2 linked regions of the Sus scrofa genome follow. The protein of the gene in region 2 purifies or fractionates together with the protein of the main gene of each other region. This does not show direct contact. Links are inferred from orthologs where the notes say so. Each region holds a gene or a part of one and is shown on either strand. Other genes may lie near its edges.

Region 1 (5,587 bases), on a different chromosome or scaffold from region 2:
GGTGGCTCTTTCATCAGGAACTCTGAATTTGCTGCGCCTTGATCTTGGACTTCCCAGCCTTCAGAACCAGGAGAAATAAATGTGTGGGGGTTTTTTTAAGCCCCAGTCTACGGTATTTTGCTATTGCAGCCTGAGCAGACTAGGTATTAATGTGAGGTTCCTGAAACTGATAAATCTAAACCATGACTTGGTTGCTAAGACAATCCATTTATTGATTCGGCAACACTTCTTTTCAGATGGACCCCCTTCCAAATCTCCTGGAAAAGGAAGAGTATGAGGATCCTGGCACCGCCGCCACTGCTGCTGCTGCTGCTGTTTGCCAGGTGGTAAACTTTTATGAGACTCCACACGTAAAATTTAATTTTAAGAATGCCTAAATCTAGTCTGCGGAATATTAACCTCAATAAGAGAGTCACCCAAACCAGTCACCTCAAAACTAAAAGAACTAGTTCCCAAAGTCTCCAAAGCTTAGGAATTCTTTGTTTTGTCAACATGTTTACAAGGACGACCACGTTGTTCGAAATGGAAATGACTGTGGTATTTAATACTGGGATTGTCCTTTCTTGCGCCTGGATTTATGCTTCATAATGATTATCTACTAGACACAGAAATAGCATTTCTGTAACTCAAAATTGTTACCGGAGGCATTTAGCAGATTCTTGCTTGAAAAATATAATGATTTTTCATCTTTATTCTCCCCCCTTCAAAAGGTTTCACTGCTCCTGATGTTTAACGTTATGCAAAGACGTGTTTCTGCCAATGAATATCGCCTTATGGTTATGCTTCTGCAAATAGCCTGCTGTGAGCTGATAAAGGGATTAATGCAGCCAAAATTCTTAATCTGTGAAATTACAAATTAAATTCTCATATTAAAAATACCACCCTGAGGTATTTTTTGTGGTTTTAATTCCCCTCTGGTGTTCTGCATACATTGTGCTTGTTAATGACGGGGACAAGGCTGTCTCCGCTGGCAGCCTGCTGCCGAGTGATAATGTGTAGGCATTTACTTACTGATAGAAACTGGATTTAACCACTGGCTGATAAACTAAGTGGCAAGTGGGTAATAAGTCCATATTAACAGAAAAGTACTACTACAGAATTCAGAATTCATAGACCATCAGAATCCTGGCTTAAACTCAATCATCAAGTCAGATGGGATTGAGATGTCACCAAGGAGCAGTGATATCCAGTTACAAGTTATACTAAATGCAAAAACAAACCATACGTTTGAGTTTGATGAGTCATAAACTAATGCATCCATTTGCATCATTTTTTTTTTATATGGGAAGGTATGTCACCAATAGCTTATTTTTCTACAGGGATTTTTGTCTCTAAATTTTTTAAAAAGTGGGAACAGCTGTAGTAGTGGTCAGGGGGTAGACTTCTAGAAAGGAAGGAGGGTAGAATATGGAATAAAGATGTTATGAAATAGTGAGGATTTTTGAAGCACGGTGGAGTAGTGGGTTAATATAGCTATAGTCACTCTAGAGTTAAAAAAAAAGTAATGACAATTAAACCTGGGATATCAGAAAAGATTTAGGGTAGAAATACTTAAGCATTGTTACTTGGGACTCAATTCCAAAAGAAAAGGTTACTGTCACTGAGGAGCCTCCAAAGCTATCATGGGGGGGAGAAAGTCTAAAGACCAAGAGATTAAAGAAGTAACTTCTATGTATGTCTATGGTAAGTGATGTATACGCAAGGATTAATAATGACATTATCAATATCTATCCATATATGCAGTATATTAATTTTTAGAACAAAAAAGGGTATGAGAAGAAATACCTCTAATTAGCATTGGAAAGAACGTATTACCGTCAAAGAAAAACATTCTTATTGCAATAGTGTTCAGCAAAATTTCACAAGAATTTTGTTTCACACTTTGGAAGAAAGATGAGATCCTCCCAGCCATAAATCCTCCCCCAGATATTTAAAATCTAATTGGAAAAGGCTGTGTAAATACGAACGCTTTTGTAAAAACAAAACAAAAACCCACCCAGGAATGTGTTTTGTTTTAAAAGATCCAGAGAAGAGCTCTGTATGAATACCGAGAGCGTTTCTAGTTAAAATGAATTACATGTCTTCAGTTCTTACATGTCAATTCAGTGCATTAACCAACCGCCAACTCTGTTCGTCAGCTCACTGCATAGCAGCCCTTTTTAAGGTTATTGTTATAACAACCAAGATGGTCTCTGAGAATCAAACAGAAATGAATCATTTCTACTATGTGTACTGCAGCCAGTTAAAAAGTACGGTATGCATAAAGCACTAAATATGTAAATCATATATTCCTTCTCCTTTATGACTGCTCAGATCATTTTTTTTTTTTTTTTTTTTGGACACACACATAATCAAATACAAAGACACGCAGCTGCTGACTGCAGAGCAGAGATAGCAAAAAAAGGAATCCATTTTCTTCCTGTGTCTGGTAAGCTAGCAATTGAATGGCAGGATTCCACTAAATATATACACTTTCTACCCTCTCCCCTCATTCTTTTTCCCTCCCTCTCTCCCTCTCATATATACATGCATGTACACACACACACACACACAATTCACTTACAAATATACATATTACAGATGCACATATAAACATGTGAGTCTCTCTACCTGTGTGCCATACATACATGCTAAAACCATGTCCCTGCTTCAACTGGATGTTTCGAATTGTCATACTCACTATCAGTCAGTTCCCATAGCCGTGGGGGCAGGTCACTAAAATACTCGTGGCTCAAGGCAGCCTGGGCTGATAGTCTGTTCTTTGGGGAACACTGTAGGAGCTTGGAGGCCAGATCCTCTGCATGATTCACATAGCTGAGCCTGAAAACACAAGCAAAAAAGAGAGAAATCAGAACACACAAGAAAATTCACTAGTAAGACATAAGCCTCACCTAATTTTTCTGGACTTATTTATTCCTGGTCAAGAAAACAAGTCAAATTGCCTGTTGAAAATAAAGAGCAGAATTCACATTAGTTCTTAGAGTATTTGTTACTCTAAATTGGCTGGCTTTTATTCTTGATATCCTAGTCTTATTGATTTAACATACTTCTACTATAAGCAAAGGGTTGGTATTTTCAGGATAAAATTAGGTCCCAAGGTAAAAAATTTCAGAAGATAATTTATCAAATAGTTGCCAGAATTTTTTCATAGAATCTAGGGACCGCATACACATCTGGATACATTTATAGGAAAATTAATACAAAATAATCAGGAGAATTAAAATAAATCTGCTATCAAATTCTCTAGTTACTAAAGTTACCTTCCCTCTAAGAATTTACATTTTCTTACATTGAATATAAAATTATTGGGATAAGTACCCTTTCAACAATTGTAACATTAACATGCAGGTTAACAAAGGGAATAAGCTTAAACCACATGGGACTGAATCAATTCAAGATGACCTTAAAAACAACAGCAGACAGAAACTATGTCTCAAGATCACCAAAAAAGCAGAGGAGTAAAATCTTCCATGTGGTACCAGCTTTCAAATGGGTAGCAGACCACACTGTCCAGCCCAGGCTTGTTTTTCACGGAATCTCCATTTCATTTCTCAGGGCAATCAAACCCAGATAATTAACATAAAAACAATAATTAAAGTCTTCCTAATAGCGACTCCCATATATGAACAGTTGAACGTGGTTCAAGCTCGTTCCTAGGCACTTCTCATGTACTGTCATATTTATTACTCCACCCAGTAACTCTGTTTCCATCTAGTAGCAGTGGAGCTAAGCGGAAGTCCGAGAAGGTGGTGGGTTGCTCAGTTAGCAGGTTGAGTGGATTGAAACCCAGTCAGAACTAGCTAACTCTAATGTAGTTTGCATTTGCCAAGTTCTCCGATCATTTCTAAAGGCTTTTATGCGCAGATTCCTGAGTTTCTGCAACAAGATGCAGTAAGTACAGGGACTCTAAGGCAGCCAGAAGAATGTGGAGAAAAGTTACATCTGCTAGTGGAGATTCTTTCAAAAGCCTACAAAACATGCCATTAGCCAATAAACATCTTTCTTCAATGACCAACAATTCTCTTCCTTGTCCTTCTGAAGCAGCTCTTTAATACTGATTTTAAATTGTTATGGGTCAGGATGTAGGGTTGGGGGGTGGGTGGGGGAGAAAAAGGGTCATGGACTTGGGTAGAGGAAGAAAAAGGGAGAAGAGCCAAGAAAAACATTAAAGACCCCAACCTAAGAGACTTTCTCTCTAAATCTTCATAGGTGAAGGTCTCACAGATGGGCTCAGTGTTTGGCTGCTGCAATGGTTGTTTTTGTTTGTTTGTTTGTTTTTTGTCTTCTGTCCCTTTTAGGGCCGTACTGCTGGCATATGGAGGTTGCCAGACTGTGGGTCTAATTGGAGCTGTAGCCGCCGGCCTACGCCACAGCCACAGATCCGAGCCACATCTGTGACCTATACCACAGCTCACGGCGACAACAGATCCTTAAGCCACTGAGAGAGGCCAAGGATCATACCCACGTCCTCATAGATACTAGTCGTGTTCTTAACCCACTGAGCCACAATGGGAACTCCTTGTGCTTTCAGTTTATAGACAGTCTTTCCCTGCGACTTCACCAAGTTCTGTTTTCTATGTTGTAAATTTGGGTAATTAAATGCTTAACAGTCTAGCATTGTTGTATCTTCCTGGTAAATTCAGTCTTTAATCCTTCTGTGGTGACCATCTCTATCTTTAATAAATAGCTTTCTGGGCTAAAGTCCTTTTTTTCCCCCCTTATTAATTTAATGACATCGTCTTTCTTTTGTTTAGTATTTGCCTGTCCTACCTTTTGTCATTCTCTTACTTTTACTATTCCATATTCAATTTTAAGGTGTCTCATAAATATTACATAGCTGGGTCTAATGTTTATCAAACAACCCCCATCTTCTAAGGTAAAAAATTTAGTCCCTTTTATATTTCATGATTACCGATATATTTGGAACTACTATTATCATCTTAATGTCGTATCCTATTTTGTTCTGCTTTTCCTTTTTACTCTTTTCCTGCCCTCTTTTGGATTGAGTCTTAAAATATTTTCCATCTTCTATTTTAGAAGTTATGCATTTTATGCATTTTATTTCCATCTGCTTACTGATTACACTTTTTTCTTTCTTTTTTTATATTTCCATATTTATTTAGATGTATAAACTCTAAGTTTTTACAAGCTGATGTACAGTGACACATTATTTCTCCCAAAAACCTATAACCATACATTCTAGATCATATAAATACGTGACTGAACTAACATCAGTACACAGCACCATTTTACCAAGTACATCACAAGACAAATTATCAAGTATACAAAAATTAAGTTATACACCTCAACAGGAATATAAAATATTACATGTTTGCTTAATTCACTAGCAAAACCTAACTTTTCTTTTTGTAAGGAAGATTGGCAGAGAAGGCAAAAATTCACACTGCTAACAGCAATGGTTGGCAAACAACTTCCAATAAAAATAGGAACAAAATCAGAGGATTTTCAGAAATTTTAAGATTCAGAATTATGTTAGCTACAACAACAAATCATGTCTACCTTAAAAAAATATTGACTAAGCTAAAGGGCATATTCCATATGTCCTACATAAGACAAGCACAATGTT
Region 2 (6,289 bases):
AGCTCCAGCCCAGGCCCTCTTACCACCCGCTACACTCTTGGCTCTTGGCCCTGCTCGCCTCAGCCCTGATCCTGAAGCCTCCTCTGCGCGCTTCGTACTTGCTCTGTGTCACTGAATGGGTAGAAATGACACCTGGCCTGTCACCCATGCAGGAAACCACCTGGGCGTAAGCGAGTGTTCTGATCAGGCCGGGCCCTGTGACCTGGCTGGAAAGGAGCCCGCTTGGTACGGGGAGCCCTGCGCTCAGTCCCCATGGAGAGGAGCCGTTATCCTCCCCGCTGCCCTGTGGCCCCCTTTACACCAGGCAGGGCCCACTGGCAGGACGAGGGTGGGGACATTCATCGTGGTGGCTGCGTGCCAGTCTCCCGACCTCTGGGAGAGCTTCTGGGAACACCAGCCTGTGCTGAAGAGAGTCCAGCTACCCAGAGGGTAATAAAGGCTCAAATCATTTCAGAAGTTTAAAAAGCAAACTAACAACAGTATGCACAAGGCAGAGAATTTAGGAGACACAGGGAAGCAAAACAAAACATTGCTCAGTTGCATTATTCAGAGGTAACCCAATATTGGTATCTGTTCTTTTTTTGTACCTTCTGTGCCTACCTGTACTTTCCCCCAAAATGCCATCTCACTGCTTCCTTCACCTCATGACATGGTGTGTCTGTTTCCCTGCGAATGAAGTGTTCTCCACGTGGTTTTTGAGGGGGGCATCGCATGTGCTGGCGTTTGCTCTCACAGAAGAAGCCCCTCAGGATCTGTGACGGTCCCTTCTGAGCAGTTTGGGGGCGCAGCGTCCTAATCTCCGGTACCGGGGCTGCTGCGTGGGTAGCGGGCACTCTTCACAGCGGGATCACAGTGCCCCGAGGAACGAGGAACAGGAACGAGGAACGGCAGCCTTGGGTTATTTTGGTTCCACTTTTGGCTCCAATCAGAAGAACTTGACACTTTTTGCTTATATTGTTCTGCAAACCCCTACTGATGATTTGAATAATAAAGCGGGTCTGAAAGAAGACAAGTCGGGGGTGTTAGGGGAACAAAAGTAAGGATGTGTGGAGCTGACCACAGACGGCAGAGATTTAACCTTTGAATAGCAAGATCCTAGTTGAGCAGGAAACCCTGCTCTTTTTCACCAGAAACTTCTGGCCTGACTTTAGCTGGTTCAAATGGAAGCAAGTTTGAACCATTGAGTATTTCTTTTTTCTCTCTTTCTGCTTCCATCAAACTCCCTTAATGCCTTCAACCACTGCCTCTAACTTGAATGCTTGTAACAGAAGAAGGACCAGATAGTTGAACTAGCATTTAAGGTTTAGTAGATGTTTCTTTCATCCCACCCCCAAGAGGTCAGCAGCTGTCTTCCAGTGAGCCGCTGAGCCACCATCGTGCAGGCCGTAGGAAGAGGTGAGGCCTCTGAGTCTGCGACAGCCCTCAGGTGTTGCCTCCAGGGAGCATGTGACCATCTTGTGTTTTCTTTCCTTTTGTCTTTAACCCGGATAGAGGAGTTCCCTAGTGGCTCAGTGGGTTAGGGATCTGGCACTGTCACTGGTGTGCTCTAGTCACTGATGTGGCGTGGGTTTGATCCATAGCCCGGGAATTTCTGCATCCCCACCCCCCCAGCCCCGGAAAAAAAAGAAGGAAAAAACAAACAAACCAAGGATAGATACCATCTGTTTTTATTGGTGTTGATTAGATGTATTTGCAACTTTTTCGAGATACTGGAACGCAAAATACTTCATTCTGATGCTGGGAGCTGATTTGAAGGTCATTCTGACTATTAATTTTGAGCTTATATCTTCCTTCTTCTAATTTATTTTGTTTTGTTTAACCATTCTTTCCAATGGAATTTTTTTTTTTAATTAGAAAAACTCTTCTACGGTGGTTCTGATTGTTTAGAGCCTGTAGCCCTTGGAGGCTGTTCTAAGGCAGGATCACAAAGCCACATGCCAGTGGGGGAGGAAGGGGTGGGTCCTGAGGAGGTGCCCCCAGGAGTGTCAGGATAGGGAGCAGAGGTGAGGACTGGGCATGGGGTCTTAGGTCCCACAAGTTGTGACCCTTGGGGTGGAGCCTGGTGTTACCATATAATCTGGTTTCTCAAGAGAAGCTGGAGATAGAGATTTTGCACGTTGTGATAAGTGTTTGAAATGTGAAAATCATTATATATTAGCTTAAACTTTTACAAAAGGAAAGACTGTGTGGATCAGACAAATCACATCCATGGTCCAGATTATGCCCACAGATGGCCAGTTTGAGTCTTTGTTCTAAAGGATTAATTTTTGCCTTTTCAGAAAAGAACAGTCGTCATTAAGCAGAGTGTGTGGATGCCGATTTGGCTGAGATATCTTATTTTAATCACCTTTAACAAGCAAATACCGCTCACATATCTGTAGATTTAGATGAGTCAGTTGTAACACATAACTCTCCTCAATTACCTGTTAGAACTTTGTCCTGCTGTTGTGTAGTTTCTTGGGTGCAGAGCAGACTTGTAAAAAGAAAATGGAGTTTTCAGCTAATGGATCTCCAGCCGAGTGTGTGACTTTTTTTTTTTTTTTTTAAATGTATGATTTTCTCAAGTTTCTAAATAGCAGTGTTCTCAGTTGAATCTAGAACAATCTATTAACACGATAACTATTGGATTTTTCCAGGATCCTTGAATGTATTGGCAATTGAAGGTTGAAAAAATTGAAAATCTTGACTCCCTTTAGTTACTAGATGGATATTCATATATTTTCTTTTTCCTTCTTTTTTTAAAGATTTGAACATGGAATTCAATCCTTCAGACCATCCTCGGGCCAGCACAATATTCCTCAGTAAATCGCAGACGGATGGTGGGTAACTAATGTATTTGTCTGTCTGTCTGTCTGTCTGTCTCCCTCTCTCCCCCCCACCCCCTCCCTTCCTTATGTTGATAGTAGCCTCAGTCTTGACTTTCCACCAGACTCAGGAGAAAAACAGAATCCCCTCACTGACCCCGGAAGGTATTATTGATAGTGATTTCCTTGCGGTTTCTTTATTTTGTAGCAAGTTATAAAATTTACTGTTTGAGGCAACTGTCCTTATTTTGCCAATGAGCTGGATTAGTTCTAGGTAGTTTCTAACCTGAGAGTCAGAAATTTTCCTTTAAAGAGTTGGTATTTGTATAAATTCTCTCAAATCAAAAGTATTAGGTAGTATGTAAAAGAAATCAAAATAGAACCCTTACTAAAAGCACCGTCCTCTCCGTTGTGTCATCTGAGCGCTGAGTTGAACCTGTGCACCAGGGGTAGATGTTTTCTTTCTGCCAGGCCTCTGCTAACCGGGTTTCTCCGCAGCCTTTGTGGTCCCACGAGTGTGGACTTTCTCCTGCGGGTTTTTCCCTCTTCAGCCCTTGGCTTGCACCGCTGTCCCCTGGCCTGAGACCGCAAAGGAGAGAGAAGACACACAGTGAACGGTGACGCAGTCTGTTCTGTTACAGTGCTGCAGCGTTGCAGGATTCTGGCCCTGCCTCTTTTAGCAAATTGCTAAGCTCTGATTTTGCGAAGTTCATAAATGGACCAGAAGATAAACATGTCTAAGACAGTAGTTCATGTAATAAGAACTGATAACCCAGTTTATGGTTAGGAAACGACTTTGACCTGGTGTCATGCTGATGAATATTGGTGAGCTTTAATCAAGCAGGCCACTGATTTGATTGGAAAGAATGTGGCGCATTTATTTAAAAAAAAAAAAAAGTGTTTCCAAGGATAAGAATAAATTATCGCTGGCATCAAGTACTTGAATGTATTGGGCGAAAGCAAAACGTTTTTTTCGTGCCCTGGGCTGGTCGGTGGGAGGCGGTTGGGAGGGTAGGATGTGGCCGGGGCAGGAGAGCAGCAGCAGAGGGTTTGGGACAATGAAGAGTGAGAACCAAAAGCAGTTGTTTTACGCCTGATGACAGTGCTGTGAAAACAAGTTACATGTTTGGCATACTTGCAGATTTGGTTCCTGCTTCCTGCGAATTCAGGGCACAGGGCAACATCTGTCAGAAAATGTTCTAGCTGGATTGGCACGGAATTGCATCAGGGCCTCTAACTGGATGATGCGTATCTTGCTCGTCATGGGGAGGGGGTGTCGGATTCTCGGCCCTAACAGGAGCTCTGGGCCGGCGTCAGGGTCGCATACCTTCCCCTCTGCTCCACGCTCTTCTGTCCAGATTTTCAGCATCAGTGACTCTGATCCTTCTGGTTTTTTGCTTATTTCTCCTTTAAACGCTGAGTCTTTCTGTTCAGTGTAAACCTGCTTGAGTCGTTCCGGTTAAAAGCAAGAAAGGGCGGAACAGCCGACCCCGTCTCCGGTTCTGCTGAGGGGGAGCTCCTGTACCGTCTCCTCCTCTTGTCATTTGCTGTCCCCCCGGGCTCTTCCTCCCGCCACCTCTGTTTCGTGACACGGCCTCTGGTGGCTCCCGCTCTCATGTGGCACTGGCTCCTTGAAACGCCTGTTTTGGCTTCCTGTCTTCACAAAGGCTCGTTTGCTGGAAACCAGTCCAATTAATTAAGGGGTTGCTCTATGGATAATTAAGTAGGTTTTTAAAATAGGTAAATCTAGTGACCGTAATGAGTCAATTCTTTGGTGAAGTGATTACAGGGAATTGGCTCTTTGGGAACGGCTCTTTCCTTAACGTGCCTCTCGGACATGTCAGTTTCTCCGTGTGTGCCTTGGTCTTTTTGAGGGTTCTGTGCTTTACCCCCTTACCTTTTTGGTCCGCATCTCATGCCTCCCAGTTTCCAAGCCTTCTGTAATGTGCAGCTGGATTTTGCTCTGCAGTGTTCTCAACCCCTCTATCCTGCTGGCTGCTGGACATCTGTTGCTTCCTCTGAACTCAGTGTGGCCTAGACAGAACTTAGTACCCGGGCTTCACCTCCTGCCGTCCTGCCCTGTCCTCTCCCGGGGCCTCTCCCCTGCGGTCCCCTCCCGCCTCAGCTCTGAGCTGCTCCAGTCCTGCAAGGCTCATCCCCACCCCTGTCTGTGTGCCCTGCTCCCCGTCCAGGCCAGCCCATGTTGGCCCCGGAGGATACGTGTTCCCCGATCCCCCACCCTTCTGCCTTCCCACCCACACGTTTCCCCAACTGGAACATCTCTGAGATCGACAGGCAGTGTGGCTTGTCACTATCAATCAGCAGTATTTTTGTCTTTTGTTTTTTGACGGTCGCACCGGAGGCATATGGAGGTTCCCAGGCTAGGTGTCCAATCAGAGCTACAGATGCTGGCCTACGCCAGAGCCACAGCAACGCCAGATCCAAGCCATGTCTGCAGCCTACACCACAGCTCACAGCAACACCAGATCCTTAACCCATTGAGCGGGGCCAGGGGTCAAACCCGCATCCTCATGGTTCCTAGTCGGATTCATTTCTGCTGCGCCACGACGGGAACTCCAGTGGTATTTTTTTCTTAATGGCAGATAGAAAAAAGATGTACTGTAACACCAGTGGCACTAAAGTCAATGCAATTTGCATGTTTGTCTATGTGAAGGTGAATTTTTTGTTTGTTTGTTTGGTTTGTAAATGAACCAGTGGGTCTATTGACCCACCAAATTCCATCTTGCTGTAGGATAAGGACTGTGCCGAGCACAGAGACTAGCCTGCAGGAGAAACTTGAAAAGACCGATGGATGAATGAGGTCATGAGAGAGTGGAGGCAGGGAGCATGGTCCAGCCTGGGGCAGGCCGAGGCCCTGTGGCACTCTCCCCAATGAGAGGCTTTCTCTTCTGGTCTGAGACATTACTTTCATCCTTAAAAAGGGACGCATCCATTATTTGGGCACAGGGGTGTAGGTCTTGTAGGGCCAGGGAATGTACTGGGCCTTCCCTACACTGCAGGTGCTTCCCTGGTCTGAACCCGAGGCGCTGGTCCTGCCCGCGGACAGCTCTCCCACCTCTGCTGCCATGTCTTAAGCTGCACGAGGTGGGGTGGGTGCAGGGTCTCTTGGCCGTGCTCAGCCCCCTAAGTTAAATGGATAACGGAGGGCTTTGGTGGCCCTTGTGCCCCACTTTTCTCGGCAGCATCACCTGGTCCAGTGTCTGATCTCTTGGGCCTCCCGTGTGGAGAAGGCTGCCTGTGGAGAACACACTCAGCTGGTCAGACAGACCCAGAATGTCAGTTCTGCTCAGTCTGCCCTTTCTGTATCCTCTCTCCTGACCTGTGCTTCCTCCAGATTTGTCCGTCGTCAGAAAGTTGCTCAGTGGGTGCAGTCCCGAGCAAAGGCTCAGGTGTGCTACACCTGGCGGCGGGTGGGGCCTGCGGCCCCGCCTCCTCCGCTGCACTTGCTGCTCGGCAGCGCCCCC

The links. Proteins that work in one complex are often made in the same cells at the same time.
Region 1: the proteins of CCNY (region 2) and CDK14 purify together in Homo sapiens (affinity purification with western blotting; 3 studies listed by BioGRID and IntAct, with this or other methods). This does not show direct contact. The link is inferred for Sus scrofa from reciprocal best matches to the Homo sapiens genes CCNY and CDK14.

What each region holds. Positions count from the first base shown.
Region 1 is NC_010451.4:71,204,724-71,210,310, reverse strand, and holds part of CDK14 (cyclin-dependent kinase 14), read right to left. Parts: intron 2,821-5,587; coding exon 2,681-2,820; intron 1-2,680. UniProt on the Homo sapiens protein: Serine/threonine-protein kinase involved in the control of the eukaryotic cell cycle, whose activity is controlled by an associated cyclin.
Region 2 is NC_010452.4:58,018,472-58,024,760, forward strand, and holds the start of CCNY (cyclin-Y), read left to right. Parts: upstream 1-2,752; coding exon 2,753-2,819; intron 2,820-6,289. UniProt on the Homo sapiens protein: Positive regulatory subunit of the cyclin-dependent kinases CDK14/PFTK1 and CDK16.